4 linked regions of the Arabidopsis thaliana genome follow. The protein of the gene in region 1 interacts with the protein of each later gene in a pairwise test. Each region holds a gene or a part of one and is shown on either strand. Other genes may lie near its edges.

The links.
Region 2: the proteins of CNGC18 (region 1) and NIP7;1 interact in a protein complementation assay, tested with the Arabidopsis thaliana proteins (one large-scale study listed by BioGRID).
Region 3: the proteins of CNGC18 (region 1) and FLA2 interact in a protein complementation assay, tested with the Arabidopsis thaliana proteins (one large-scale study listed by BioGRID).
Region 4: the proteins of CNGC18 (region 1) and WAK2 interact in a protein complementation assay, tested with the Arabidopsis thaliana proteins (one large-scale study listed by BioGRID).

What each region holds. Positions count from the first base shown.
Region 1 is NC_003076.8:4,806,016-4,813,901, reverse strand, and holds CNGC18 (cyclic nucleotide-gated channel 18), read left to right. Parts: upstream 1-2,808; 5' UTR 2,809-3,004; coding exon 3,005-3,469; intron 3,470-3,630; coding exon 3,631-3,843; intron 3,844-3,927; coding exon 3,928-4,238; intron 4,239-4,314; coding exon 4,315-4,426; intron 4,427-4,529; coding exon 4,530-4,766; intron 4,767-4,851; coding exon 4,852-5,634; 3' UTR 5,635-5,811; downstream 5,812-7,886. Other genes in the region: AT5G14860 (UDP-Glycosyltransferase superfamily protein), read right to left, coding at 6,143-6,334, 6,526-6,864, 7,068-7,886. UniProt on the Arabidopsis thaliana protein: Cyclic nucleotide-gated ion channel required for directional pollen tube growth into the transmitting tract. Acts as a Ca(2+)-permeable divalent cation-selective channel inhibited by either lanthanum or gadolinium.
Region 2 is NC_003074.8:1,839,526-1,846,719, reverse strand, and holds NIP7;1 (NOD26-like intrinsic protein 7;1), read left to right. Parts: upstream 1-3,523; 5' UTR 3,524-3,785; coding exon 3,786-3,926; intron 3,927-4,008; exon of another isoform or gene 4,009-4,102; coding exon 4,103-4,327; intron 4,328-4,424; exon of another isoform or gene 4,425-4,440; coding exon of another isoform or gene 4,441-4,563; coding exon 4,564-4,761; intron 4,762-4,968; coding exon 4,969-5,030; intron 5,031-5,130; coding exon 5,131-5,332; 3' UTR 5,333-5,552; downstream 5,553-7,194. Other genes in the region: MUTE (basic helix-loop-helix (bHLH) DNA-binding superfamily protein), read right to left, coding at 94-189; MKP2 (MAPK phosphatase 2), read right to left, coding at 2,143-2,299, 2,663-2,783, 2,867-3,002, 3,114-3,203; AT3G06090 (uncharacterized protein), read right to left, coding at 5,708-5,947. UniProt on the Arabidopsis thaliana protein: Aquaporins facilitate the transport of water and small neutral solutes across cell membranes.
Region 3 is NC_003075.7:7,489,229-7,495,952, reverse strand, and holds FLA2 (FASCICLIN-like arabinogalactan 2), read left to right. Parts: upstream 1-2,872; 5' UTR 2,873-3,143; coding exon 3,144-4,355; 3' UTR 4,356-4,726; downstream 4,727-6,724. Other genes in the region: AT4G12740 (HhH-GPD base excision DNA repair family protein), read left to right, coding at 1-78, 164-261, 348-883, 960-1,375; AT4G12735 (uncharacterized protein), read left to right, coding at 1,768-1,950; AT4G12731 (uncharacterized protein), read left to right, coding at 2,593-2,775; NUDT7 (MutT/nudix family protein), read right to left, coding at 6,396-6,617, 6,717-6,724. UniProt on the Arabidopsis thaliana protein: May be a cell surface adhesion protein.
Region 4 is NC_003070.9:7,441,505-7,450,148, forward strand, and holds WAK2 (wall-associated kinase 2), read left to right. Parts: upstream 1-3,244; 5' UTR 3,245-3,492; coding exon 3,493-4,324; intron 4,325-4,398; coding exon 4,399-4,569; intron 4,570-4,645; coding exon 4,646-5,841; 3' UTR 5,842-6,185; coding exon of another isoform or gene 6,186-6,899; 3' UTR 6,900-6,979; downstream 6,980-8,644. Other genes in the region: WAK1 (cell wall-associated kinase), read left to right, coding at 1-388; AT1G21280 (Copia-like polyprotein/retrotransposon), read right to left, coding at 6,186-6,899. UniProt on the Arabidopsis thaliana protein: Serine/threonine-protein kinase that may function as a signaling receptor of extracellular matrix component. Binding to pectin may have significance in the control of cell expansion, morphogenesis and development.

The sequences.
Region 1 (7,886 bases):
AATCTTTTTATATGGTTAAGTATATTAGTATTATTATATCAAAATTCATTTTTGACTATATATAGGTGATTGTGTCGAAATTCACGTAAGATCTTTGTAACATTTTTTCACACTAGTTAATTTTACATGTATTATAGATTCGCTGCAAAAAAAAAAAAAAAAAAAAAAAGAAAATAGAAAAATTTCTGTTTTTTCACACTAGGCCGATTTGATTGATCAAAACCGATTTTAAAAGCTTAAACTAATAAATCGATTTCATTCACCAATTTATTAAAATTAGATCGTTTTGGAGGTTCAAGAATATCTGGTCGCTGTTTAAGACGATATTTTGAATCTTGAACCGTTGAAACTATATATACTAGGTATATTTACTGTATGTTGTGAAAGGGTTTACTATCACATGGCTATTATATAAGACCGTACTAACATATGCAAATATTATATGTGGATCAAAGTACCACAAATTTTGAGTGAACCAAAAACAAAAGGTTAGAGATAGAAAAATATGCATGTAAAAAATAATAAGAGATGAAAGAAATATTAATGGGAGATGGGTGGGAAATGAATAGATTGGTGTCTTCGTCACTTTTACTTTTTTTTTTTTTTATTGTTTGTTTGATAGTACCAAGAGATTCTCTATTCTATTCTTTCGTGATGGTTTATTTTAGGGTATATTACGTGACCTGTAGTTCATCCTCTCCAACTCTCAAACCCACAAATTATTCACTATACATATATCCAAAGATTATTTATTCAAAGATATGACTAAAAATCTCTATACACGTGTGTATGTAATAGAAAGGTGCAAGGATTTTGGTGTGGCACCACCTTCAAGACTTTTTTTTTATCAAGACCTAACTCTTACCACTTTGAAAGCAGCTTATCTTATTTCTTTAGATAAAACAATTGATAAGCGAGTGCTTTAAACTTCACAAAACTACAATCTACTTTTTATTCGATAAAACAAAAGATTTTATTAGTCTTTTTCATTAGGGTCCCAAATGATTAATATGTTCACGATCACGAAATTTCTTCTTGCGTCCCGTAAGCATTTATATTAATCAAACAAAAAGGAAATTTGTTGCTTCCTACAATGGGAAGTGGGAACCTTTGCCATCTTCATAAATGTTTTAAATCTTTTTTTTTTCTTTCTAATGTGTGTTTCATAAACACCAGCGACTTTATTGAAAAGAGGAACACGTAAATTGTATTCTCAAAGAACAATTTTTTTAGGAAGAGTAACATTTGTTTTCCTTATCTTAATATAAGCAACGAAATCAATCGTGCATATAAAAGTGAAATGCTATTTTGAATTTTCTAAACTTGACTAGCAAATTTTCACTAAAAAATAAAATTAAAAAGTAACGATAAAGTAGTTGTCGTATAGTCTACTCCACATGAATAAAATAATAAAGTAAATCAATAGAATGTAAATCTCTTAATTAATCATACTTATTATATAATCACAGTGGCAAAGTGGAATAAAAAAAAAAGAGGAGAATTGGATCCCGTCGGATTCTATATTTAAAGATCGCTAAACATCTCAAATCTGCCACACGTGGTCATACTTAATAGCAGCCATTAACGAAGTAATAAATTAGTCGATAATAATGTTTAACCAACATCGTATTTCTAGATCCATGAATTAGTTGGAGTAATTAACATCATTGTTTCTTAATTACGTTTAACAAGCATAGAGAAAACAATATTGTCACATATGTTAGTATAAGTTATCATAATCATTTATAAAAGCTTGTTATTAATTTTTTATATTGAAATTACTACTTTGTGTCTAATCGGAAAATGATGGAGTACTAAAATTTGAAGGACTAAAATACGTCATTATTGTTAGAGAAAACAATTACGCATAAGTGTGATTTTTTGGAAGTGGAAAAGTTAGTATGTCCCTCTATATGATATGATGGAAGTTGTTGTTCTTTTTGTGTGGATAAACATCATTTTTCCGTGACGTAATTTTTAATTTCAGTATTCATTTTATTATTCTCACTTCTTATTATCCCTTTTATATTCGCATAATTGTTTCTAAGGATTTCTATTCCCTTTTTGTTATTTTATAGGTACACTATCTTATGGATGGTGTCAACAAGCATGTACACTATCTTCCCACTACCACATATTGTCACAGAATGTTTGGTACGCGTGCTTCTATATACTTTTAATAGTACATAACAACAACAAATGAATTATGTAAGACAATTTGTTAAACTGATGTCAAAAACGGAAATACTACAAAAGACAGTATAATTGAATTACGGGTTTAATGTGTTGACAAAATATAATAAATGTAGCTCATAAAACTTCAATAATTCACTTAAATAAATTCTAATGAACCTCATAACGAATTAGATATTTTAACTAATCTTATCATGGTTTTACGAATTAATTATAATTTTTTTTTTTATTCTTTGAACAATTGAACTAAACAATATTAAACCGGACTTTAAGTTAAAACTACTAAAAACATTATTAGTTTATCAATAGAAATGATCATAGCAATTGTATACATTATAATGTGTAATTTTAAAATCCTAAAGCATATATAGTATATATCCCTTTGATTTTCATAGAAAAAAAGTAGAAAAAAATAACTATTGGGCCGATCTATAACTATTGGGCCGGTGGGTCCAACAACTAAGAACAGTAGATATTGTGTCGATTGAAGTTTTGAGATGCAAAACGTGTGCTGTTTTGAGAACACAAAAACAGCATAAACAAACGAGACCCGCAACTATAACATTCCGTAAATACCCTCATTCTCCCATCATATTTTCAAAAACTACCCTTCCCCCTATTTCCATGGCCCTTCTCTCAGTTTTCCCGCGAGAAATCCTCTCCTTCTTCCATAATCATCAAAAACAAAATGCAAAAACCCAAAAAAACAAAAAATCACACGACGCAACCACCTAGCCTCTCTGTCCATCAATCTCAATCTCTCTCTGTGTTAATGCGGAATCCGATTTAACACCGGAATCCGCCATGGAAGATGAATAAAATCCGGTCTCTCCGCTGCCTCCTCCCGGAGACCATAACCTCCGCCTCCACCGCCGCCTCAAATCGAGGATCTGACGGTAGCCAATTCAGCGTCCTATGGCGGCATCAGATCCTGGACCCGGACAGCAACATCGTCACCTATTGGAACCACGTCTTTCTCATTACCTCAATCCTCGCTCTCTTCCTCGATCCTTTCTATTTCTACGTCCCTTACGTCGGTGGTCCGGCGTGTCTCTCCATCGACATCAGCCTCGCCGCTACTGTCACTTTCTTCCGTACAGTCGCCGATATCTTCCACCTCTTGCACATTTTCATGAAATTCAGAACTGCGTTCGTCGCGAGGAGTTCTCGTGTTTTTGGTCGCGGTGAGCTTGTTATGGATTCTAGAGAGATTGCTATGAGATACTTGAAGACAGATTTCCTCATTGATGTCGCCGCCATGCTTCCCCTTCCTCAGGTTCTTAAGATTTTGCTCTTATTTTGAATGTGAAAGCAATGATATGGATTACGATTAGCTAAGATCAATGTTCAAAAATCGTTAGGCGGTAGCTAGAAGATTAAAGAACAGAGATATTTTGGGAGCCTCATGCTTTGTTTCTGACTATCTTTTGATCTCAGCTTGTTATTTGGCTAGTAATTCCAGCGGCCACAAATGGAACTGCTAATCATGCCAATAGCACTCTCGCACTTATCGTTCTTGTTCAATACATTCCAAGATCATTCATCATATTCCCACTCAACCAAAGGATTATCAAAACAACCGGGTTTATCGCCAAGACTGCTTGGGCAGGAGCTGCATACAACCTCCTATTGTACATCCTTGCTAGTCACGTAAGTTTTCTTTATCTTGTGTGTTTTTTCAAATCTTTAGGTTTCTTCAGTTTTAAGTTGCTAAGAATCTCTATTTGTGGGCAGGTGTTAGGAGCAATGTGGTATCTGTCATCAATCGGGCGGCAGTTTTCGTGCTGGTCCAACGTATGCAAGAAAGACAACGCTTTGAGAGTTTTGGATTGTCTTCCTAGCTTCTTGGATTGCAAGAGTTTAGAACAACCAGAGCGCCAGTATTGGCAGAACGTTACTCAGGTCCTTTCTCATTGTGATGCTACAAGCAGCACTACCAATTTCAAATTCGGAATGTTTGCTGAAGCCTTTACCACTCAAGTTGCTACAACAGATTTTGTGTCCAAGTACTTGTATTGTCTTTGGTGGGGTTTAAGAAATCTAAGGTATGACAACCTTTTATCTAACCAGTATCTGCTTAAATTGTCCTCCTTTGGTTTTAATAAAGGTTTTGTTTCACAGTTCTTATGGACAGAATATAACCACAAGTGTATACCTTGGCGAGACCTTGTTCTGTATAACAATTTGTATTTTTGGGTTGATTCTCTTCACACTCCTGATTGGTAACATGCAAGTAAGATTCAGAGCTTATGCATCACTCTGCAAAACTTTTCAATACAGAGACATTTTTTTGTCTTTCTAACAATAGACTTCATGATTTTTAATTTGGTGGAAAGTCTTCTCTGCAATCGATGTCAGTAAGAGTTGAGGAATGGAGAGTTAAGAGAAGAGACACTGAAGAATGGATGAGACATCGTCAACTACCTCCAGAGCTTCAAGAACGTGTCCGAAGATTTGTCCAATACAAATGGCTTGCAACCAGAGGTGTCGATGAAGAATCAATCCTCCATTCATTACCTACAGATTTACGCCGTGAAATCCAACGTCATCTTTGTCTCTCCCTTGTTCGCCGGGTACATACATCAACTCAGTCATCAAAAACTGTTATGGATTTGATTGTTTTTCAATTCAGAAGTCACATTGTTGTGGTAAGTGCAGGTCCCGTTCTTCTCTCAAATGGATGATCAACTTCTTGATGCTATATGCGGATGCCTTGTCTCATCTTTAAGCACGGCCGGGACATACATATTCCGTGAAGGTGATCCGGTGAATGAGATGCTATTTGTGATCCGAGGACAAATAGAGAGCTCAACAACAAATGGAGGAAGATCTGGTTTCTTCAACTCCACTACTCTACGACCTGGCGATTTCTGTGGGGAAGAACTTCTTACATGGGCCTTAATGCCAAACTCTACACTCAATCTTCCGTCTTCAACACGAAGCGTCCGTGCCCTCTCTGAAGTAGAAGCCTTTGCATTAAGCGCAGAGGATCTTAAGTTTGTTGCTCATCAGTTCAAACGTCTTCAAAGCAAAAAGCTTCAACACGCTTTCAGGTACTACTCACATCAATGGAGAGCATGGGGAGCATGTTTTGTCCAATCTGCATGGAGAAGATACAAGCGAAGAAAGCTTGCGAAAGAGCTCAGCCTTCACGAGAGTAGCGGATACTATTACCCGGATGAAACAGGTTACAATGAAGAAGACGAAGAAACTAGAGAGTATTACTATGGAAGTGACGAGGAAGGCGGATCAATGGACAACACAAATCTGGGAGCAACGATCTTAGCATCTAAATTTGCGGCGAACACGAGAAGAGGAACAAATCAAAAGGCTTCAAGTAGTAGTACTGGTAAGAAAGATGGATCTTCCACCAGTTTGAAGATGCCTCAACTATTCAAACCAGATGAGCCTGATTTCTCTATAGATAAAGAAGACGTTTAAAGTGTAGTCATTATGGGCAAAAAACTTTTGTGTGAACTGTTTGGTTTTAGATGGTAAATAGTTAGGAAACTCCCTTAATTATTTCAACTTGTAATTTTTCTTTTCTTTTCGTTTCGGTTTGAGGATGTTAGATATAGAAAACGAGTGTAGAGTAAAAATACATTGTTCTTAAACTGTCTCAATGTTATATAGTCTGATTTCTTCTCATAGTAGATACTACTTTTGCATACAAACTCATTTTTAAGTCTTTCAGAAGAACACTAAGGTGTTGATAGCTTCTTCGGATTGACCAGCCAATATTAACCTCAAAGATAGCAAAAATCTCATAAAGCAACCACTGAATGCAATTGAAATTTTTTGAAACTATAAGACCAAAACCAAGAATTAGAACTCCAAATTAGTCATTCATATCCAATTGAGAAGAATGGACCAACTTTTCAACAAACCTAACATATTTAATGACTAAAATTAGGTACGAAGCCGTTTTGTTATCCAATCCTTAATCTCTCTAAGCATCAGAACTTGACAACTTATTAACACCGTCTGGCTCTCTACTCTTACAAAGCTCTTCCAGAAGCGAATCCAAACTCTTCCAAGACGAACCAGTCCCTTGAGCCATAGCTTTTTTCGCCATTTTCGCATACTCTTTTACATTCTTCATCGTTGTCTTCCCCATCTCTCCCTCCATCAATTGTTTAACCTAAATAGTACAAATAATAAATACAATCAAGGGGTACTCTACAGTCAAACGGAAAAAGAGGCTTCCTTCTTGTTAATTTGTTAGTCAAAAAGCAAAGCCATGATTACCATATTCAAAACATTTTATTCTAATATATGCATGACACCAATTAAAACAAAAGATGGAAACATGAAAGGGTATATATACGGTACCTTTCGACTAAGTTCTTCTCTTGTCACGAATCCTTTCACACTTACATCTTCTGTTTCGATTCTTACTCCGATCTTTAGCTCCTCCACTACCAACTTCGCATTGAGTGGCTGCTCTGCCATCATTGGCCAAGCGAGTAGTGGAACCCCAGCGCAAATACTCTCTTGCGCCGAGTTCCATCCACAATGACTCAAAAACCCTTTGACACTTTTATGTGACAATATCTCCCATTGGTCTACCCAATCTCTCACAATCATCCCATGCTCTTTCACTCTCTTTTCGAACCCTAATCCTCCAGTTACTTCTTCCAAGTCCTTTCTCGTGACCCACAAGAAATTGACCTTTTTAAAACAATCAAGACCACGTAAATTCACAAAACAATACTTTTCTTTATATATATATATATAGACTAAAAAATGTTTTATGGGTTGATACCAAAAACAAATAAAAGGACATGCATGGAATTTGGTGGAATAATAAAAGTGATTGGTCAACTGTATTAATATGAGGTTTTAAGTTGGCATTAATCCATTCTTTAACGTACCTTGGAATCTTCCAACCCTAATGCTATTTCCTTGAGCTGCTCGTTCGATATCTCAGCCTGCGTTCCAAACGCCACATACATAACCGGACATCTTTCCTCTAGTTTCCGGTCCAACCAATGAATCCAATCCGGTTTATCACTCTCCGGTTTTGGAGGATTTACCAAACACAAAGGCCCAACACACCACGGTTTTGGTTCATCGTTATCACGGAGCCGGTAGTCAACGAACGTTGACTCGAGCTCGTAAAAGCTGTTCACTATAACTCCACGGCTTTTCTTGGTGGACATAAGATGGTCAATGAGTAGCTCGAACGCTGGATCCGATTGATCCGGTTCGGTCAAAACCGGATCGAACTCACACTTCTTAACACATATCCATGGAAAATCCGGTACAGTAACCGGTTCAGTATCAGATTTAACACTTTCCGGTTTGGTAAAGAGCTCGTGTACCGAAATGGCGGAGCACATAGCCGATGCGTAGGAGTTCATGCCGTAGAAGGCAAGTCTCGGGATCTCAAATTTAGCGGCGGATTCCGATGTCCACCATAAGAATCCATCGGAGACCATGAAAGAAACTTTCTCAAGATTCTTGAGTTCTGCTTCGAAGAAAGGCTGGAGAGATTTGGTTGCGCGCGTGAAGGGCACGTAAAGTGATATGGAAGGGAGCATGTCGGTGCTCTCGACGCCGGGAGGGATTCCGGCGATGTTTTCAGGGAAAGGGAGGGAGATTACTTTGATAGATGATGCGACGTCAGAGAGGAAGTTTGAGACGAATGGTTGGTTTTTTGGGGTGGTGAAGACGGTGACGGAAATGGTTGG
Region 2 (7,194 bases), on another chromosome or scaffold:
ATAATTAGGATTGTGAATTGAGTTCTTTTTTCTATATCATCCAAACTAGCTAATTGACTATGAAGGGATCGAACAGATAAATATGAAATTTACCCTTTTGATGTAGAAACAAGGAGTCAAAGAACGAAGGGATTTAAGATGCTCGTTCATTTGCCTTCTTCGATTCCTTTCAACAGCGATGTGAGACATGATACTTAATTGATCAAGATTCTCTTCTGGAGTTCCTATATTGATCTATCAACGAAGAAGATGATCTTATGTTTTCACTTTGTTCGACACATTCTTCAAAACAAAGTCGTATTTATACAGCCGCAACAACAAGTGATAATTAGGGTTTAGAATTTCTTTTCAAGGTTCATAAATGCACTATGTCGCTGTCTCGTGACATTCTTTTGTCTCTTCTTGATTTTTCTCTTTCTCTCTCTTATTACTATCGATATGTATTAGAACAACGTAAAGAAAAAGGTATGCATACACAAAGATACGTCACGTTTGTGAAGTTGGATACATTTACATTTACATTCACTGCGTGAGGTCTTTTATGAATTTCAATATCGTATTTTCATTTAGAGTGCATGCCTTTGCACCACCTTCTTTTACTTCTAGTTTAATTTCTACACTTGTGCCACTTCTTTGTTCTTAATTACCGCGTGTCCTCACAAGAAAAAATGGATTTCTTTTACTCTTTATTAACAGATAATACACTGATACATACACAAAGTAAAAAAACATTGAATCGGACATATACTGGTGGAAAGGTTTAGTTTGTATTGAGATGTTTTACAGTTTTCATGGATCGATGAAGGAAAATAAGTACATCAAAAGCCGTTTTTTTTGGCGTAACATATGTTTTTTACTACTTACTATTAGCAAACATATTGGGTAGTATCTGATTGGAAATCTACGAAATTTCGAAGTGATGAAATGATTATGTGATTTCGCATGTTTCTATATGACATCGTTTTTGTGTAATTATGTTTCACATCTTCTATCCTATTGACTTTGTAAGATAAATGACAACATTGACAAGTAACAAAATATAAATAGTTACGACATAGTTTGTAGTTGAATTACAACTTTTTGTTTTCCTTAATCACTATGTCATTTAATACCACAAATTTCTCATTCGTGATGATTCCATCATTTTCCTTGATCACTAGTCGGAACCAATTTCCATTGGTTAATGGATAACTTTTTGCATGAAATATAGGTTCTACAAGAAAACATAAATTGATATAACCTTTGGAGCAAAGATAAAGTTCAGTTGTTCAGCTACCTGGACGGCTCATTAAGATTCCTCCCGAGAAGTATTCTTAAATTATATTATTTATTTTTAATAAAGAGATATTCGTAAAATTTCGGCTCTGTTTTGCAAAGTTAACAATATCTCAATTCATATTACAAACTTCATTAAATAAGGTTTAACCTAACCAAAAAAATTGCTATAGTGACAATATTTTTTCTATGAAACAAACCCACTTGGATAACACTTCTATTTGTGGTTTTGTTTGGACAAACGTTTATTTTTATGGTTCATATATGCATATCCACATATACATTATCTCCGAAGTCCCAAAACTGTGGAAGCAGCTGGAATGAAAATGTTGGTGACAAATGTTTGTAGCCGCAAATGTTAGGCTACAATACGTATAAGACATGCAAGGTGCATGCCCCATTTAATTACGAGTAAAGAAATCTAACTCCTACTTCGATATTCAATTTGTTCATGGTCTATCACGTTATATACAATATTGATCGACAAGGCAATGAAACAAGAAAAAAAAAAAAAAAAACTCACGTTCGATCAAGATATCGGTTAACATTCAATGCAAGGGTCGAAAACCAAACCAACCAATTTTCAGTCTGGTTTGGGTATGGGATTGGTTTGGTTAAATTCACACTGATCCTCCTAGAAAATATATTCATTGTAGTAACAGAGGAAATGTAAATTCTGCGTTTTCATTCATTTCAATTGGCTAATGGACATGGCAAAGTGCTCACCATCAATAGTTCACAAGAAAAAATCCTTCACAGCACGAAACCAATCAACTTTTTTGGCCAACATGGGGCTGAAGACACTTGCCGGAATTTCATGAGAGTTCATCATGCCACTATCTTGAATCTTCTTATCAGCTGAAGCAATCATGCATTACCTTGGATGGATTTTTCAAATTGCTGGAGCTGCGAAATGAAACCGGGATTAGGATATGCCTGATGTCGTCGGCTCCTTACAAGTTCCATAGCTTTAGAGAATCCCATTCCATGCTTTTTCATCAGGTAAGCCACCACTATAGTCACACTTCAAAGAAAAACTCAAACCAATCAAATTGTGTAAGTATATATATAACAGAACGACACAATAAGCAAATTACAGGTTCAAGAAAAACTCTTAATTTGTCCACAACAAAATGTAATCTGTTCACTACCATAACTCCTACTAATACCAGAATCAGCAAGCTATAAAAGAATCAAAGCAAACTACAAGATTCATATACACTTTTGCCAATCTGAGTCTCTGTAGTTTCCTATGGTTACTCAGTTGGCAATTTATATACACTTTTTTGATATGGTTACATAATTTGCAATTGGTTCACATTGATGATTCTTAAACACTAAATCTAATAACTGAATGTATGAGATTTAAGGGCAAAAGAATCAAAACCTCCTAGACATTCCCATGAAGCAATGAACCAAAACACCACCACCAGATTGAATAGCTTGGTCGATGAAGCTATAACACTCATCGAAATATACTGTCAAATCGGTCTCGGATCTATCAACCACTACACGATGAAGAACAAGTTTATAAAATCTCTAAACGAAAAATTTCAAAAACAGGCTAAGGATTGAAGAAAAAAAACCCAACCTTCAATGACTTTGTAGACAAAATCATCAGGATAAGGAGGAGCCAAGGCCACAGCAACGGTTAAGACATGAGTGATATTAGAGCTTTTGAGAAAATCCTTGTTATTCGCTTCAGCTACTGATCCTATGAACAATCCCTGAGAATAAACTCATCCAACAAACGATTTTTCGGAATTAAAGACTCCAAAACCTGAGAAATTCCAAGTGTGAAATTAGACGGATAGATAGAGAAGAGAAACGAAGAAAACCTGTTGGATCTCGCTGAGATCTTTGCCTCCTTCGAGTAGCTTCTGGGAATTAGCTTCTCCGACTCCGAAGAGATCAACCACTTTCTCCATCGCTCTCTGCTTCTTTTTTCAAAATTCCACTTGTACAGACGAAAACTCTTAATCAGAAAGATAAATAACCCTAGATTCGTAATTAATATTTAATAGTTTAGTTCGGATAGATGAATCAATAAGCACCAGTGGTCTAGTGGTAGAATAGAACCCTGCCACGGTACAGACCCGGGTTCGATTCCCGGCTGGTGCAACAATTTGTTTGTTTTTTTAAGTGAAAAGATTTAAGAGAGTCAACCTTTTTACACATGAAATGAAGATGATTAAAATAAATAGATGACTTAGAAATCACCAAATTAACATTAAGAAATATTGGTAGGTAGGAAGTGAAAATTGAACACAAGAAAAGTGTTGAGCACCCTCTTCTCCTTTCAGACTGCTTAACCAAAGGAATATAGCAGCACTCTACTAATTCTTCTTTTTGTTGAAATAAAATAATTACTCTTTAATTTCCATCTTCTTTGCGTTTTTCTCTCTATCTCTCTTTTTTTGTTCCATTAGATCATTCATAAAGCGGATCAAGCCACCTTGATTGTGACTTTCCTCAGTTCTTGATCACTATATCTTGAAGGAATTAAGAAGATGAATGGTGAGGCACGGTCAAGAGTAGTCGACCAAGAAGCTGGCTCAACTCCATCTACTTTGAGAGATGAAGATCATCCCTCGAGACAAAGGCTTTTCGGATGTCTCCCTTATGATATAGATCTCAATCCCCTACGCATTGTAAGCTTCATATATACACAAAATCATAGAATCAACAAGATTAATATCTCACAATACTTTTGTGTTAAACTAAAGAATTGGCTATGTCCATAATTACAAATAATTTTTTTGAAAATATTAAAATGTTTGTATAGAAATAAAATGCTAATTAATAGTATCTCCGGACTAATGTTTAGGTAATGGCGGAATTGGTGGGGACATTCATTCTAATGTTCAGTGTGTGTGGGGTCATAAGCAGTACCCAATTATCCGGCGGCCACGTGGGATTGCTAGAGTACGCCGTCACCGCTGGATTATCTGTGGTGGTCGTAGTTTACTCCATCGGACACATCTCTGGCGCCCATCTTAACCCTTCCATCACCATTGCTTTCGCTGTCTTTGGCGGATTCCCGTGGTCTCAGGTATAATGCATCCATCTCAACACGGCGTTTGACCAACTAAGAATTGTAGTTGAATTATCTTGGTCTTGATCGTTTGTTTTTGTTTATCTTAGCGTTTAGACCAAGATCAAATAATGTGTTTTTTTCATTTATCAACGAAGATGAGACGAGAAAACTTAATCTTTTGTTTGGACGTTTACAAATTATTTTTTATGAAAACTGAAAATTCTTTTTTGGAATGTTGTGTCACATGCCAGGTTCCGTTGTATATAACGGCGCAAACATTGGGGGCAACGGCGGCAACATTAGTTGGGGTGTCAGTGTACGGAGTAAACGCTGACATTATGGCAACAAAACCTGCTTTAAGCTGCGTTTCTGCATTTTTCGTTGAACTCATAGCTACGAGCATCGTCGTGTTTCTCGCCTCCGCGTTGCATTGTGGTCCTCATCAAAATGTAAGTGACCAAATCGATCTTCGTTACTCCTCTAGTCCGCTTGTTATAAAAAAATATCTTCTAATAAGAATAACACCTAAAATGTGACATTTACATGCTATTTCTTAATTATGAAATTTTATTTCTTTCCAAAGAGAAAATAAAAAAAATCAAACTCTCTGATTAGAAAACTTATATGCATTTAATTTTATATGTTATTTTGTGCAGTTGGGTAATTTGACGGGGTTCGTGATTGGAACAGTCATTTCCCTTGGAGTGCTTATTACCGGGTACTTAACTTAAAACTCCATTATCACCGTAAAGTATTGGAAAATAGTTATTTCATGTGATCGTATAATGCTAACGTTTTGTGGAATATGGTATGGTTAGACCGATTTCAGGAGGATCGATGAACCCAGCTCGATCACTTGGACCGGCGGTGGTGGCATGGGATTTTGAAGACTTATGGATTTACATGACAGCTCCGGTGATCGGAGCCATAATCGGAGTTTTGACATACAGATCAATTAGCCTAAAAACCAGGCCTTGCCCTTCTCCAGTTTCCCCTTCCGTTTCTTCACTTTTACGTTAATCACTTCAAAACCTAATATCTATTATACAAATAAACACTTTTGATTTTTTTTCTTGGTTAAGGTTTTTAAGTTTTTGTCATTACGTCATTAGATGCCGTGATGCGAAAACAGAGAGCTACTTATCGGATTGAAGATATAGAGGGTAAAGCAAATGAAAACAGGGGGCATTTTGTTCTTTTTACACAATGAAATGAACGCAATTAAAAATCTTTAGTCACATATATTTTATAGTGAAGCGAAATTCGTATGAATATTCAAATCCTTTCATTAGGTTATAAGAACCCACTAAAATACTCATATTACTAAACGATACCAACAAACATAAATTAGAGAAATGAAATTAAATATCTTAAATTATTACCCCAACTAAAAATTTAGTGGCCACAACCTCTACGACTTGGACCAGAAGCTAACTTTCGACCTGACCACAAATTCGCCTTCTTCTTCTTCTCCTCGTAGTTTCCAAACTCATTTCTTGAATCTTCTCCGACTACATTCATTCTCGTTGCCTTCTCTGCAACCCTGTTACAACCATGGTAACTAGCCATGGCAATGGAACAAGTTAAGTAAGCGACCAAGAGAAACACAACTTTAAGAAGCTTCTTCATCTTCATGTTCTTAGTGTCGACTACTACTTAAACTATAGATTCTCAACATTGATTCGTATTCGTGTATATATGCATGTTTATAGATTTTTGGTCTTTTGTTCTATGAGAGCTAATGCATAATTAGTTAAACGGTTCAAATGTTTATTGACTGAGTGAGTAAACAGTCTACGAATAGTAAGGTTTAGGTTGCTACTTTGTATTTAATGCTATTTCAGAACTTCTAATTTAAGAATTAAAGTAAATTTCATTAAATCATGATATGTCTGAGTCTGGTTGCGGTCTTGCAGAAATTTAAACCATGTGTTTTAGATCAAATATGATTCATTCCAACTAAATGTATTCAGATTTAGATGGTGCTCTCGAGAAATTGTTCGATCATTAGAAGAAACTAAATCATTTAGATGCGAGGATACTCACTAACTTGAGACTTGAGTAAAAGTGTTCTAAATTTTCCTTTTGAAAAGTACCAGAAGATTGTATATTATAATCTTTTTTGTCAAAATCGCAAATTCTAAAGCAAACCTTTAAAGTTGTTGATTTCGTAATGCAAAACTCAAACGCAATTGCAAGCACTTTAATTGATCAAATCAAAGCTGAACAACGAGATCCGTTTGCTACGTTGTCACTACTTTTAAAGTTCAAGCAAGTCAATACAAGAAGAAAAAAGTTAACAGAAATTTTTGATTAAGCAAAGTATTTACGATGCTCTCTGCATATATTATATAAAGCACATTAAAATCGAATATATATTTGAGCTTGACCATTACGCAATATATTCTCACTAGCTTTCTTTCTTCGTTTGTCATGAGATTCATTGTCCCCAAGAAAAAATGACATGTGATGTGTTACAAAACCTTAAGACAAGTGGCATGGACGGCTCCCGAGTCTAATTTCGAGCTTCTTCAATTTAATCATGTGTTTTCGTAAAAATCATTAGAAGATTCTTTCTCATCTGAAGAATCAATCATTTATGAATTATGCATAAACTATATAGGTTCAGCCAGGGTGTTTTCGAAAAGCTATACTCGAATAAGGTGTGGAACTGTGGACTAAAAAAACACACGATACGGTAGTCCGATCCAAATAATTGCAATTCGTTGAGTTATAGCCTATTCTAATACATTTTGCAGCTAGTAATAATATAATATAATAAAACTTTTTCATAAGTTAGTGACACCAAAAAGCCAAACGTGACGAAGCTGATAAGGATAAGTAGATGATAACTGATAAAGATAGGAGTTGTATAGAGGAAA
Region 3 (6,724 bases), on another chromosome or scaffold:
CAAGCGTCTAGCTTGATGAAAGTTAAAGGAATAGGACAGTACACAGCCGGAGCAATTGCCTCAATTGCTTTCAATGAGGTGAGTCAGTTTCATTTTTTTCAGTCATCAATGTAAGACATCTAAGTAATTATCTTTACGTCTTTTGACACTTATTATGAACCAGGCAGTACCTGTTGTTGATGGAAATGTGATAAGAGTGCTTGCTAGATTAAAAGCCATCTCAGCTAATCCAAAAGACCGACTTACGGCCAGGAATTTCTGGTGAAATAACTTTTGTATTTGCTCGAATGTTTCGCTATTGAGACTATACTAAAAGAGAGGATAAAGAAATCATTTATCTTTGTCAGGAAACTAGCTGCTCAGCTAGTGGATCCTTCACGCCCTGGAGATTTCAACCAATCTCTGATGGAGCTTGGTGCTACACTATGCACTGTATCAAAGCCAAGTTGCTCTTCTTGTCCTGTTTCCAGCCAATGTCGTGCATTTTCACTTTCCGAGGAAAACAGAACGATTTCCGTGACAGATTATCCTACAAAAGTAATCAAGGCCAAGCCAAGGCACGACTTTTGTTGCGTTTGTGTTTTGGAGATACATAATCTGGAGAGGAACCAATCAGGAGGTAGATTTGTTCTTGTAAAAAGACCCGAACAAGGTCTGCTTGCTGGTCTTTGGGAGTTCCCATCTGTTATATTAAATGAGGAAGCTGATTCGGCAACAAGGAGGAACGCAATAAACGTCTACCTTAAGGAAGCATTTCGTTTTCATGTAGAACTCAAGAAAGCATGCACTATAGTTTCAAGAGAAGAACTCGGAGAATTCGTCCACATATTCACTCACATTCGTCGAAAAGTTTATGTGGAGCTATTAGTTGTACAACTTACAGGTTTGACCACTATCTATCTCTTTCTTTCTAGGTCTCTTTTTTACATATAGTTAGAGAAACTAACAAGAAGTTACAGGCGGAACCGAAGATCTGTTCAAAGGTCAGGCAAAGGACACTCTAACATGGAAGTGTGTGAGCAGTGATGTTCTTTCTACCTTGGGACTGACATCAGCTGTTAGAAAGGTACCTCCTTTTCGTCTTCAACATATTAAAAGACTATCCTTGGATGTGATGGTTGAGAAGGAACAAATTTTGGAGTGCAGGTGTATTCAATGGTTGAAGCACACAAGCAAGGCTTATCTGTTTCTCATGTCTCATCAAATAGAACAGCCATATCGAGGAAACGAAAATTCTCATGATCTCCTTCTCACACTTTTCTTCATGTTGCTTAGCTTCTATAGTTCTTGTCTAGCATTGGGAATCAAATTTGGTGATCTTGGTTTGAAATTGAACAGCTTAGTTTCTACTGAGAAAAGTGACGGTGATGTGTGATCCCTCCAGAGTCCAGGGGTTGATTATGTATTTTGGGCTAACAAATATTAAAAAAATGGATTGTTAAGGCCCAACTTAAGCCCAGAAATAAATTCAGTCAGTGGATTCATATAATCGCGTGGACTCTTTCTTCCAAATGATTTACATAAAGAGTCAAAAGTCCTTGAACTTCACGTACGAAGACTTGTCAAAAGGCATAATTAAAACGGACAACGAAACTATTCACTTATTAAGCTTGGCCGCCAAGTTATAATGTCACTTTCCAAAAAAGAGACGTGTACAAAGAAGATTCAGTGACTTTCTTCACCATCCCCTTATATATACATTATCTGACATGTATAGTAAGCTCAAATTAACTTAAGAACTCACACTTAAGTTTTAAACCTCCAAGGATGTCTCTCTTCACGCTCTTCTTCGCTTGCTTTGTTCCAAAATCTGGTTCAAGGATTAACACAACCGACAGTAATTTGGAAGTCTTGTCTTTGAAGAAACCCAAAAGAAAAACCGAGTCCATAAGAACTCCTACTATCGTCGTCTCTTATTTTCCCGTAGGCTCCAACCTTTCTCGTCTATAGGAACTAGGAAGTAGGAAGGATAAAAGTGAAATTCTGTAGTTATGATCACAACCAAGAAAATATATGAGGCTGATACTATTGATCCAGTCCAATCTTGTTTATCTATGTAATAGACCAATGAAAGATTCTGCTTGTGGTCGACACTTTTTTGTAATGATGATTTTGTTTTGGGTAAGTTTATGTATATACAGTGGCACAGAGACAGAATAACTATTTATTGATATAAATATTATTTTTTAGTCAAAACTTTCTTACTTAATTGAAAATGAAATAAAATATTTAGCAGCAAATTATATCTTATAAACTCACATGCTTACTCATATCTTGTAATCGTTTTATCATTTGCTTCGTTTTATGCAGTGTTAATAACATTTGCAACGGCAAATCGTCTTTTGAGTAAAACATGTATTGATTCTAACGATTATAGTACAAACAGAAAATATGTTTACTCAATTGCTATATCAGGGTCAGTTGCGGAGTGGTTTGTTTAAAAACCACTCTACCACTATAAATATTTGTAAAATGATGTCATTAATTTTTTTTATAATTATGCTTTACAAGCTTTAGTTTTGGACCGGCCTGACTTTAGGCCAAGATTCAAATTAATAGAAAACCTCGCACTTAAGTTTTACAACTCCAAACATGTCTCTCTTCACACCCTTCTTGGCTTGCTTTGTCCAAAAATCTGATTCACGGGTTAACACAACCGACGCTAACTTGAAAATCTTGCCTTTCAAGAAACCGAAAAGCAAAACCAAGTCTCCAAGAGCTCCCACGATCGTCGTCTCTTACTTTCCAATAGGATCCAACCTTTCCCGTTTATAGAAATACGAAGATGAAAGTTAAATTTTGTAGGTATTTAAATTATACCTAAAATTGGTAAAAATAAAAATATACTATACTGTTACAGTTAAATTTTGGTCATGTCTACGTATGTACCTAGAGCCGAATAAAATATTGAACCGGGCCTTAATATTTCCTAAACACTAATGTGTTTCTCTCGTCGACACTTACTTTCAAATGTGACCCAGACTCAAGCTATGTAGAGCCCACTTACCTGCTGCTGCGCTGGAAATATGCGAGACAGCTTTGTTCATATAATCTATTTTATATATCTTTCATTATTATAAGACTCCTCTCCAAATGCTACCACACAATTCCTCTATCAAAGCCGCCCAATCCTCCACCCAAAAATGGCTTATCTCCGGCGAGCAGCCACCGCATTGGTTCTCATTTTCCAGCTCCATCTCTTTCTCTCTCTCTCAAATGCACATAACATAACCCGAATCTTGGCCAAAGACCCTGATTTCTCCACTTTCAACCACTATCTCTCAGCGACTCATCTCGCCGACGAGATCAACCGCCGGCAAACAATCACCGTCTTGGCCGTCGATAACTCAGCAATGTCCTCCATCCTCTCTAACGGATACTCACTCTACCAAATCCGCAACATTCTCTCTCTCCACGTCCTGGTCGATTACTTCGGCACCAAGAAACTTCACCAGATCACCGACGGCTCCACCTCCACTGCCTCCATGTTTCAATCCACCGGATCCGCCACCGGAACTTCTGGATACATCAACATCACCGATATAAAAGGCGGTAAAGTCGCTTTTGGTGTCCAAGACGACGATAGCAAGCTCACAGCTCACTACGTCAAATCCGTCTTTGAAAAGCCTTACAACATCTCTGTTCTTCACATCAGCCAAGTCTTAACCTCGCCGGAAGCAGAAGCTCCCACGGCGAGTCCCAGCGACCTCATCCTCACCACAATCCTCGAAAAACAAGGGTGCAAAGCTTTCTCCGACATCTTGAAGTCAACCGGCGCCGACAAAACGTTCCAAGATACCGTAGACGGAGGCTTAACGGTGTTCTGTCCCTCCGACAGCGCTGTCGGTAAGTTCATGCCGAAATTCAAATCCCTTTCTCCGGCGAACAAGACTGCGTTAGTGCTTTACCACGGCATGCCGGTTTACCAGTCGTTACAAATGCTTAGATCAGGTAACGGCGCCGTTAACACGTTAGCGACGGAAGGTAACAACAAGTTTGATTTCACCGTTCAAAATGACGGAGAAGACGTGACGCTGGAGACGGACGTTGTGACGGCGAAGGTAATGGGGACGTTAAAGGATCAAGAGCCATTGATAGTTTACAAGATCGATAAAGTGTTGTTGCCTAGAGAAATCTACAAGGCCGTTAAGACGTCCGCTCCAGCTCCTAAGTCGAGTAAGAAAAAGCCTAAGAACGCGGAGGCTGACGCCGACGGACCTAGCGCCGATGCTCCGTCAGATGATGATGTTGAGGTGGCTGACGATAAAAACGGCGCCGTATCAGCGATGATTACTCGAACAAGTAATGTCGTAACGGCCATTGTCGGGCTCTGTTTCGGAGTTTGGCTTATGTGAAGTGACGTGGCATTTACCTCGCTTTGGGAATCTTGTTTTCCTTTTTCTTTGTGATCTGTCGGTTTAATTTATTTTACATATTCTTTTTTTTGTTCACGTTGATACTTGGTGTGGAGATTTGGAATAATTAATTGTTCCACTTGTGTTGGATCTGATATGTTTTATTCTAAAAAAATGTGATGATCATTCAAAAGAGTGATTGGTACGTTGGAATCACGTGTATCTATAAAGATAGTGTCGGTGGTAGTCGAAATAGTGTGAGGCTGTGAGCTGTAAGATGCATGTTACATCCTTTGTGGTCGCTTGGATTTGACCCATGATGATGCTCCATCGTAACTACACTAATATGAAATATAGTATACTTTCAATTACAGAGGAAATCAGAATAGGGACAAAGATTATAATACGAGATAAAATGAGTGTTAGTTCAAACTTCCGATTATAATGTCGTAATATCTTTTAACCATATGTGTTGCATTGCACATAGTAATAAGGGCTTTAAGAGGGATTAAATGTTTTTCTATCTCTAGGTTGGGCATCTCCAACAAAAATTGTATTATCAGCTCCTACCTAATGTGGTGATATTCTTATTAGATATACTAGATCTTTCTTGTTCCATCAATCCATAATTAATAGTGTTTTGGACATGTAAGTTTAGTTAATCTCTAATCCGGTTTACAAATTGCGGTTTAGGTGTAATTAAAAAAAACAATCATGATTTAACTTATTAAATAAAAATCGGATGTATTTAAGAAATTTAGTGTGAGATAAAAATTGATTTTGTTAGTACCTACTTGTAAGAAATGTAATTATTTTATAACAAATGTAATTATTTTGAAGGATACTAAAATAGACATTTTATTGCTTTAAGTAATGTGCAAAACTTCAAAACATTTAATGCCACAACTATTGAACGAAGCTTTATTCACCCTTCTATTCACCTCCTTTTGCATTAACCAATAAAAACATGTCATGTCAAATCTTACTTAAATTACATAATAAATTAAAGCTATAATTATAAATCTAAACCGATATATAATCTCGTTTAATTACAAAATCTAAACCCTAATTCTCCTTTGTAAACCCAAACCTTCATTTAAACTCATTTAATCGTAAGAAAAAACTAAACCCTAATCGTATTTTCAAAACCCAAACCGACATTTAACCTCGTTTAATTGTAAAATCTAAATCTGTTTATAAACCTAAACCAATATTTAATTGGTTAATTGTAAAATCTAAACCCTAATCGTACTTTCTAAACCCAAACCGATATTTAACCTCGTTTAATCATAAAATCTAAACCCTAACCTTTTCTAATAAATCCAAACCGATACATAATTTCGTTTTAGTGGCAAATTAGATTTTATAATAAAATTAAATTCTTTTTATTATTGTTAAATGTCAGATTTTAATTGATTAAAATAGAAGAGGTGAATATAAGGGGGTGAAGGGTGAACCCAAGTATTTTTAGCAACTATTCCATTTTAAATTTTGATGTTTCCATGTTACAATAAATTTTCTATTTCTGGAAAAATAAATACACTATAATTTTAATATGGGGCCTATAAAGTTTTTTTGGGGCTAAAGCCCATATATGCCTTATCTTTTTCACGTTAGGCACACAGTACAAACGAGTCGCAAAAATTGGTGTACATATACAAAGTAATGTGAACCTTTTTAATGGCATTAACACTTTCTTGGATTCACACCATTTACCAGTGTAGTAAATGGTCAAGAGACGATACAGCTGAGAACTTAAAACCGGTTACGAGAAGATATTTTGGAAGAATAAACCAAGTGTATGGTAACACTCTTAAGCCTCATATCTTTAAAAAGCACGTAAGCGTTGGGAGAATCAAACCATCACTGGAAATAGACTAGAAGTCGATGGCAAGTTTTACAGTGGCTCATAGAGATGGTATAAACTTAAATATTTAGACGCAATTTTGTAGAATCGGAATAATATAGAAGAAAGTTTCCTGTTTTGTACACACTGGACACACACATGCCGAGATCAAACAGAATCAGATGAGAATGTTTTCAGAGAGAAGCAGAGGCTTGGTCACGCGATACTTTAAGGCGCTTGGCATGATCCGCATTGCAGTAGATAAAGCTCTCTTTACCAGATGATGTGGTAGTTGGCACAATGGCGAATCCCAAGTATTCTTCCTCACACTTCTTTTGGCAAATGTTAGCCATGAACTTGAACATCTCGTTCTTCTTGTTCCATGGTTGGTCTACATACTCTTGGATCGGCATCCACTGTAATACAATATACCAGTTTCGGTTAAATTTGAAATATATGTCAGTAACTTTTAACATTTTCTTGGCTCATCAACACTGAAAGTTAGAAAGGTTTACCTTAGCTT
Region 4 (8,644 bases), on another chromosome or scaffold:
AAAGGCATTGTGCTTTAAACGGCCACAGTCCTCAAAACATCTGGTGAGTTACTTTGCGACTGCCACAAAAGAGAATAGGTTGGATGAGATTATTGGCGGCGAAGTGATGAACGAGGATAATCTGAAGGAGATCCAGGAAGCTGCAAGAATTGCTGCAGAGTGTACAAGGCTAATGGGAGAGGAAAGGCCAAGGATGAAAGAAGTAGCTGCAAAGCTAGAAGCCTTGAGGGTCGAAAAAACCAAACATAAGTGGTCGGATCAGTACCCTGAGGAGAATGAACACTTGATTGGTGGTCACATCTTGTCAGCACAAGGCGAAACCAGTAGCAGCATTGGCTATGACAGCATCAAGAATGTAGCAATATTGGACATTGAAACTGGCCGCTGATATTACAAATTCACATGTATTTCTTTTGTTTGTAAGAAAAAAAAAACTACCTCTTTGTTGCTTCATCAATAATGCTTTGCTTCATTAATAATGATTTGAAAGAATTTTTATAAATCATCAATAACCATGTTTGTAATTCCCATTGGTATACTAACCAGTAGCCAATCTGGTTATAGGCAAACTTAGAAACTCTTTTGCAAAATAGCAGATTACCAATATCAGTTCATAAATCTTATTCCATATGACATTGATGTTATCAAAAACAACTAGATAAGAAACACTAGAATCTTTACAAAAAGAAATGCATAACATATAGAGAAAGTTATGATCATGAACCTGGTTCCTAAATTCTTCATCTCCTGTATCTCTTCATCGTCAATTCTGCTCCTTTAACCATATTGTAAGCTTCGTAAAGTGGCGGAGGAGGTTTCTTGAGCATGATTGTTATCCTCACAACCTCAAACTCTTTGTTCAACCCCATCAAAAACTCGTAACGCTGCTCCTTCTCTCTCGCTTCTTTAGCTAGTTTCGTACTCTCGCAATTGCAACCACCGCACTTACACTCAGGTACAGGAGCATACTCCGACAACTCCATCCAAACTTTACTCAGTTTCCCAAAATACTCCTCAACAGAATCACCACCTTGCCTCAACGTCGCGAGCCTCCGACGAAGCTGGTAGATCTTCAAATCGACGCAAGGAACGAATCTAAGTCTGAGATTTTCCCACGCTTGATGAGCAGTCTTCGCGTACATCACAGACTTTACAAGCTCTTCGCTCATCAAATTCATCAGCCAATACTTAACTATTGTGTCGCATCGTTTCCATGGATGATAGAGCGGCGAGGAAGGTTCTGGCTGCGGGAGAGTACTGTCAATGAAACCGATTTTGTTCGTGAGTTCGAGAAAAGAGCGAAATCGAAATTTCCAGATGACGTAGTTGTCTTCGGCTTCGCTGAGTTTTTCGATAGAGAAATCGGAGGGTTGATTAATATCTGGAGGGAGATAATACGGTGAATCGGGGTCGGATAATGGAGATACGCTCTTGATAGTTTCCGCCATTGTCGTCACTGAGCTCTGCTTCTAAAACTCTAGGGCTTGCCCTTTTTTATCCCTTTCGATTTTGACTAACATTAAACAAATCATTTTCAAAATGAGAAAGAGAAAAAAAAAAAAAAAAAAAGATAAAGAGTTGGGCTTAATGGGCCTTGAGTTTCCCTCCGGAGCCCAACAAAGCCCCTAGGGAAGCTAGCGTCGATTGCAAGAAACGCATATGCTTCTTTCCAACGTTTTGATTTGTGGATACTAGAGAGGATGTCAATAAACATGATTGGTCCAAGCAAACAGTTGATCTTCCCTTCCCTTTGGTTGATATGAGTTCCCTGGCACCAACAAGGTTGGTGAAATCATTTCCCCCAAAATGTATACCACCCATTCTTCAACTTTCCTTCTTCATAATGGACTCATACACGATATGTGCGTCTCTATCTCACCCGAACCTTGTTTTTCTTCAAGGACCTTAATGTGTAAGAGCTTGACAGACTCTGTTTTTTTCTTCTTTGAATCAATATATAAGCGTTGGCTTTTCAACATCAAGCAAACTAGTTTTTTATCTTACCATTGATGATTTGCATTTTCTGACATGTGTTATTTCTTTTTATTGTTGTTCATATTTTGAGTGTTTTGTTTGTTTTTGCTCAGAAGGTATTATATGCACAAGATTTCATTGAACTGTATGCTGCAGATAATCATCGAGAAGCTCGTTTATCTATGAGGATTAAGCCATTGTGGAAGTTTTGGAAAACCTAATCTTAACTATCATTTGTCTTAACTACCAATAGGTCTAATTCTAAAAGACAGTGGAAATAAAAAAGCAGGGAAGAGAAGGGTTAGGTGAAGGTGGTCTACATAATTTGCCTGGAAATCAAGAAAAGTAAGAGAAGGATATTGGAGCGGACCATAGCACATGAAGATGAAACATTCTAATGGGGCTCCCATTTTAAAAGGGTCCCACAGAAATTTTATTGTAATTAAATATACATATATATATATATTGATTTTTAATAGGAGAAATAGTTAGTTTTATACATATTAATCTTAAATAATAGTGTGATCCAAAATATTTATAAATCTAACATACAATTAAATAAATAATTCAGAGTTTTGTTTAAATTGGTTTCTATTTACTCTATAGTTTTAAAGACAAAAGTACTTTGTTTTCGTAATTTAAATGGCCCGAATTTCATTGGTCCGGCTCTGTAAAATAATATTTACTATTGCAGATTCCTGCAATTATTGGGAAAATGGGGACTAGTCAACGGAAGCAAGTCAAGAGAACATATCAAGAATGGAGTGTGTTTTCTTAGCTTTAAGAAGCAGATGCTACGGAGAGATGAGAGAAAACTCAAAGAGAAACAAATTTAGTGAGACAAAGAGAGAAGGAGAAGATGAAGTTGCAAGAGGGTCTGATCTTGGTGGCATAATGCTTTATGACTCAAAATGTCTAAATGTGGGGAAAAAAACAAGTCGTAATAAAAGCATCATAAGAAAACAGAGCATGTTGTGATCAGGATTCAGGAGTCTCAATTCCTATATCGTCATTTTAAAAGGCAATTTTCATATTTTGAGCGTGAAATTAACTGTTAAGAAAAAGAGTAAATTTGCCTTGTAATATCGAGAAAAGAAGAGAGGACCGAGACTGAAGTTGACTTAAGAGGGTCTTCATAATTGAAGATTCCTTGCAAGTTGCAACTGTCTTAATCTTTGAATAGTAAGAAAATAAGTGTCACTGTTAACAAAATTAAATCGGTTTCCCCACTAACGAAAAAAATATCAAGAATGACGAGAAGACCAAGACCTATAGTTGTCACTGTTTAAATACTATACAGGAATATGCAGCAAACGTCCTCTTCACGCCTCATGGGTTACATTGGTTGTGTAGTTGAATTTTCGTCTTCTTGCATTATATGACAAAATGGGAGCGGGCCTGCGAAAATGAGTGAAGAGAACATTTCATATACAGTTGTTTCTAATAAGAAAAAGGAGATTAGCGAAAACTCAAAACAGGAACAAAGTTAAAAGAGTGAGAGAGAAAGAAAGAGAGAAGATGAAGGTACAGGAGGGTTTGTTCGTGGTGGCTGTTTTCTACCTTGCTTATACGCAGCTAGTCAAGGGGCAACCTCGCAAGGAGTGCCAAACTAGATGTGGCAATGTCGCAGTTGAGTACCCTTTTGGTACTTCTCCAGGTTGTTACTATCCCGGAGATGAAAGTTTCAATCTTACTTGCAACGAGCAAGAGAAGCTCTTCTTTGGCAACATGCCAGTCATCAACATGTCTCTCAGCGGCCAGCTTCGTGTTCGGCTAGTTAGATCCAGAGTTTGCTACGATAGTCAAGGAAAACAGACTGACTACATTGCCCAGCGGACCACCCTGGGTAATTTCACTCTCTCTGAACTTAACAGATTTACTGTAGTAGGTTGTAACAGTTACGCATTTCTCCGCACATCTGGAGTTGAAAAATACTCAACTGGATGCATATCAATATGTGATTCTGCCACAACGAAAAACGGATCATGTTCTGGTGAAGGTTGCTGCCAGATCCCTGTCCCTAGAGGATACTCTTTTGTCAGAGTAAAACCACATAGCTTTCACAACCATCCTACTGTGCATCTGTTTAATCCTTGCACCTACGCCTTTCTCGTTGAAGATGGTATGTTTGACTTCCATGCTTTGGAAGATCTCAACAATCTGCGAAATGTTACTACGTTCCCTGTAGTACTAGATTGGTCTATCGGAGACAAGACTTGCAAACAAGTAGAATACAGGGGCGTGTGTGGTGGTAACAGCACATGTTTCGATTCTACTGGTGGAACCGGGTATAACTGCAAATGTTTAGAAGGTTTTGAGGGGAATCCATACCTTCCAAACGGTTGTCAAGGTACTTTAACTTGTTTTCTGTTTTATCACTTCTTTTAATCGTTTACTTCATACATGCTCTTTTTCCTTGGCCAGACATCAATGAATGTATTAGTAGTAGACATAACTGTTCGGAGCATAGTACCTGTGAAAACACGAAGGGGAGCTTCAACTGTAACTGCCCATCTGGTTACCGCAAAGATTCCCTTAATAGCTGTACTCGTAAAGTCAGGCCTGAATACTTTAGATGGACTCAAATTTTTCTTGGTATGTTCCCCTCACTGGTTTCGGATACTTTCCTTTTAAAAAACTAGCTCTAATTACCTAGGTGTGATGTGATCAGGAACCACCATCGGCTTCTCGGTTATCATGCTTGGGATTAGCTGTCTACAACAGAAAATTAAGCACCGGAAGAACACAGAGCTCCGACAAAAATTCTTCGAGCAAAATGGTGGAGGCATGTTGATACAGCGAGTCTCGGGAGCAGGGCCATCAAATGTTGATGTCAAAATCTTCACTGAGAAAGGAATGAAGGAAGCAACTAATGGTTACCATGAGAGCAGAATCCTGGGTCAGGGAGGCCAAGGAACAGTGTACAAAGGGATATTGCCGGACAACTCCATAGTTGCTATAAAGAAAGCTCGGCTTGGAAACCGTAGCCAAGTAGAGCAGTTCATCAACGAAGTGCTAGTGCTTTCACAAATCAACCATAGGAACGTGGTCAAGGTCTTGGGGTGTTGTTTAGAGACAGAAGTCCCCTTGTTGGTCTATGAGTTCATTAACAGTGGTACCCTTTTCGATCACTTGCACGGTTCCTTGTATGATTCTTCACTTACATGGGAGCACCGTCTGAGGATAGCAACAGAAGTAGCAGGAAGTCTTGCATATCTTCACTCTTCTGCTTCTATTCCAATCATCCACCGAGATATCAAGACTGCTAATATTCTCCTGGATAAAAACTTAACTGCAAAAGTAGCTGACTTTGGTGCATCAAGATTGATACCGATGGATAAAGAGCAGCTCACAACAATAGTGCAAGGCACTCTAGGTTACCTAGACCCAGAATATTACAACACAGGGTTGTTAAACGAAAAGAGCGATGTTTATAGTTTTGGGGTCGTCCTAATGGAACTGCTCTCAGGTCAAAAGGCATTGTGTTTCGAAAGACCACATTGCCCAAAAAATCTTGTGAGTTGTTTTGCTTCTGCCACAAAGAATAATAGGTTCCATGAAATTATTGATGGGCAAGTGATGAATGAGGATAACCAGAGAGAGATCCAGGAAGCTGCAAGAATTGCTGCAGAGTGTACAAGGCTAATGGGAGAGGAAAGGCCAAGGATGAAAGAAGTAGCTGCAGAGTTAGAGGCCTTGAGAGTTAAAACAACTAAATATAAGTGGTCGGATCAGTATCGTGAGACAGGGGAGATTGAACACTTGCTCGGCGTTCAAATCTTGTCAGCACAAGGCGAAACCAGTAGCAGCATTGGCTATGACAGCATCAGAAATGTAACAACATTGGACATTGAAGCTGGCCGTTGATATTAATGCTCTGACAAAATCACATGTATATCTTTTGTTTGTAAAAAAAGAAAGTCATTTCCTTGTTGCTTCATCAATAATGCTTTGACAGATTTGTTTGTACATCATCAATAATCATGTTCATATTTTCCTTTACTTGGTATACTAACCAGTAACCGATCTGGTTATTGGCAAATTTAAAACTCTTGTGTTAAATTTTAGTTCATAAAAATCTAATTCCATATGAGATTGATAATATACAGATATAGCTTCAAACACATCTCAATAAGAAACACTAGAATCCCAAAAAAAAACATAGGCAAAGAAGAGAAAAGTTATGATCATAAACCTGCTTCCTAAATTCTTCATCTACTGTACCACTTCATCATCGATTCTGCATCTTTGACCATAGCGAAAGCTTCGTGAAGTGACGGAGGAGGTTTCTGGAACATGATTTTTGTCGTCACAGCCTCGAAGCCTTGGTTCAACTTCAACCCCATCAAAAACTCGTAACGCTGCTCCTTCTCTCTCGCCTCTTCAGCTCGTTTAGTACACTCGCAATTGCAACCACCGCATTTACACTCCGGTATAGGAGCATACTCCGACAACTCCATCCAAACTTTACTCAATTTCCCAAAATACTCCTCAACAGAGTCACCACCTTGCCTGAGCGTCGCGAGTCTCCGACGAAGCTGATAAATCTTCAAATCAACACAAGGAACGAATACACGTCTGAGATCTTCCCACATTTTATGAGCAGTCTCCGCGTACATAACAGATTCTAGAAGCTTATCGGTCATCGAATTCATCAGCCAATACATAACCATTGCGTTGCATTGTTCCCATGGCTGATAGAGCGGAGAGAAAGGGTCTGGCTTCGGGAGAGTACCGTCGATAAACCCGAATTTTTTCGTGACTCGGAGGAAAGAGCGAAATCGAATTTTCCAGGCGACGTAGTTGTCTTCGTCTTTGCTGAGTTTTTGGATAGAGAAATCGGAGGGATGATGAATATCGGGAGGGAGATAATACGGTGAATCGGGGTCTGATGTTGGAGATACGCTCTTGATAGTTTCCGCCATTGTCGTCGCTGCTCTGAGAGTCTCTCTCTGCTTCCAAATCCTAGGGCTTGCTTTGTATCCCTTTCGATTTTGACTTTTTTAGTCTCAAATAAAGAAATAATTTTCCAAAATAAGAAAAGTCGCAATTTTTTGTAAACAGTTGGGCTTAATGGGCCTTGTATTTCCCCTCCCTAGCCCAAAGTTTCAGGGATTACCTTACCCATTAAAGGACCCCGCGCATCATTGGGATATGATCTTGTTGGTCATTAATCAAAGCGTTGAACCTGGTGTCTTCACATGACCTGTATCTTGGTTTTGGAGGACAAGAAACATCAAAAACACGTAATCAGTTTACCAAAGCTCCTTATTACCGTGTAACCAAGGGACTTTGCATCTATGGTTCCATCTATTATGGTGCTTGGGCCCCTAGACTAAGAATGGATCCGGTGAATGGTGATTGTGTGTTTTCATGTTAGATATGAGAGGCTAAGTTTTATCAAAGTGCCTAGGGATGTTTTGGTTCGGGAGTGTGAATCAATATTGATAGAATACAAAGGGAAGTTAGCTTCCATTGCTAGAAACCCTTTAAGCTTCTCTAGTTTTGATTTGTGGATACTAGAGAATGTCAAGAAACATGTTGGTCCAAGCAAACATTTGAGCTTCCTTTCCCTTTGGTCAATATGACTTCTCCTGGCACCAACAAGGCTGGTGAAATCATTTTTGCCCCAAAATCTCTCCCACCCATTCTTCAACCCTTCTTCATTTTCTAGTACAATGTAGGAAAAAAGACATCAGAAGAGTTAGGCTCCATGGAATTGCAGACGAGAAAGAGTTTTGTCGCCGATGTGGACTCAATGACTCATACACGATATCTGCGTCTCTATCTCACCCGAACATGTTGAAACTATTGCCTCTTTGTAATGTGTTTTTCTTTAAGGACCTTAATGTAGGAGAAAGTGGGGACAAGTCAACGGAACCAAGTCAAGAGAACATCTCAAGAATGGAGTGTGTTTTCTTATATTTAAGAAGCAGATGCTTTGGAGAGATGAGAGAAACCAATTTAGAGAGAAAAAGAGAAGGAGAATATGAAGTTTGCGATTGAGGGTACAGGAAAGGCCAAGGATGAACGAAGTAGCTGCAGAGTTAGAGACCTTGAAAGTCAAAACAATTAAAACATAATCAGTATCCTGAGACAAGGGAGATTGAACACTTGCTCGGTGTTCGAATATTATCAACACAGGGAGATACCAGTAGCCGTAGTTATGACAGCATCAAGAATATTGGACATCGGAGCTCTGACAAATTCACACATGTCTTTTGTTTGTAAAACATGAATCCTACTTCTTTGTAATTGCCTCATCAAATTATGTATTGAGAGAATATTTTGTGCATCATCTATAGTTGTTATACTAACCAGTAGTCAAATAACCAAATTTAGAGCTCTTATGCAAAATTTCAGTTGACGAATCTAATTCCATATGACATTGATAATGTACCAATATGGATTCAAAAAACACGAAAACACTTCAAAAAGAAACACTATAAAAGCATAAAAAGTTAAAATCACGGACCTGCAAATTCCTAAATTCTTCCTCCCATTTTCCACTTCATCATCGCTTCTGAATACACAACCATCTCATAAGCTTGGTAAACAGACGGAGGAATCTTCTTGTGCATGACTTTCATTTTCACATAGTCAAACTCTTTGTTCAAACCCATCAGAAACGCGTAACGCTGCTCTTTCTCTCTCGCCTCTGTAGCTCGTT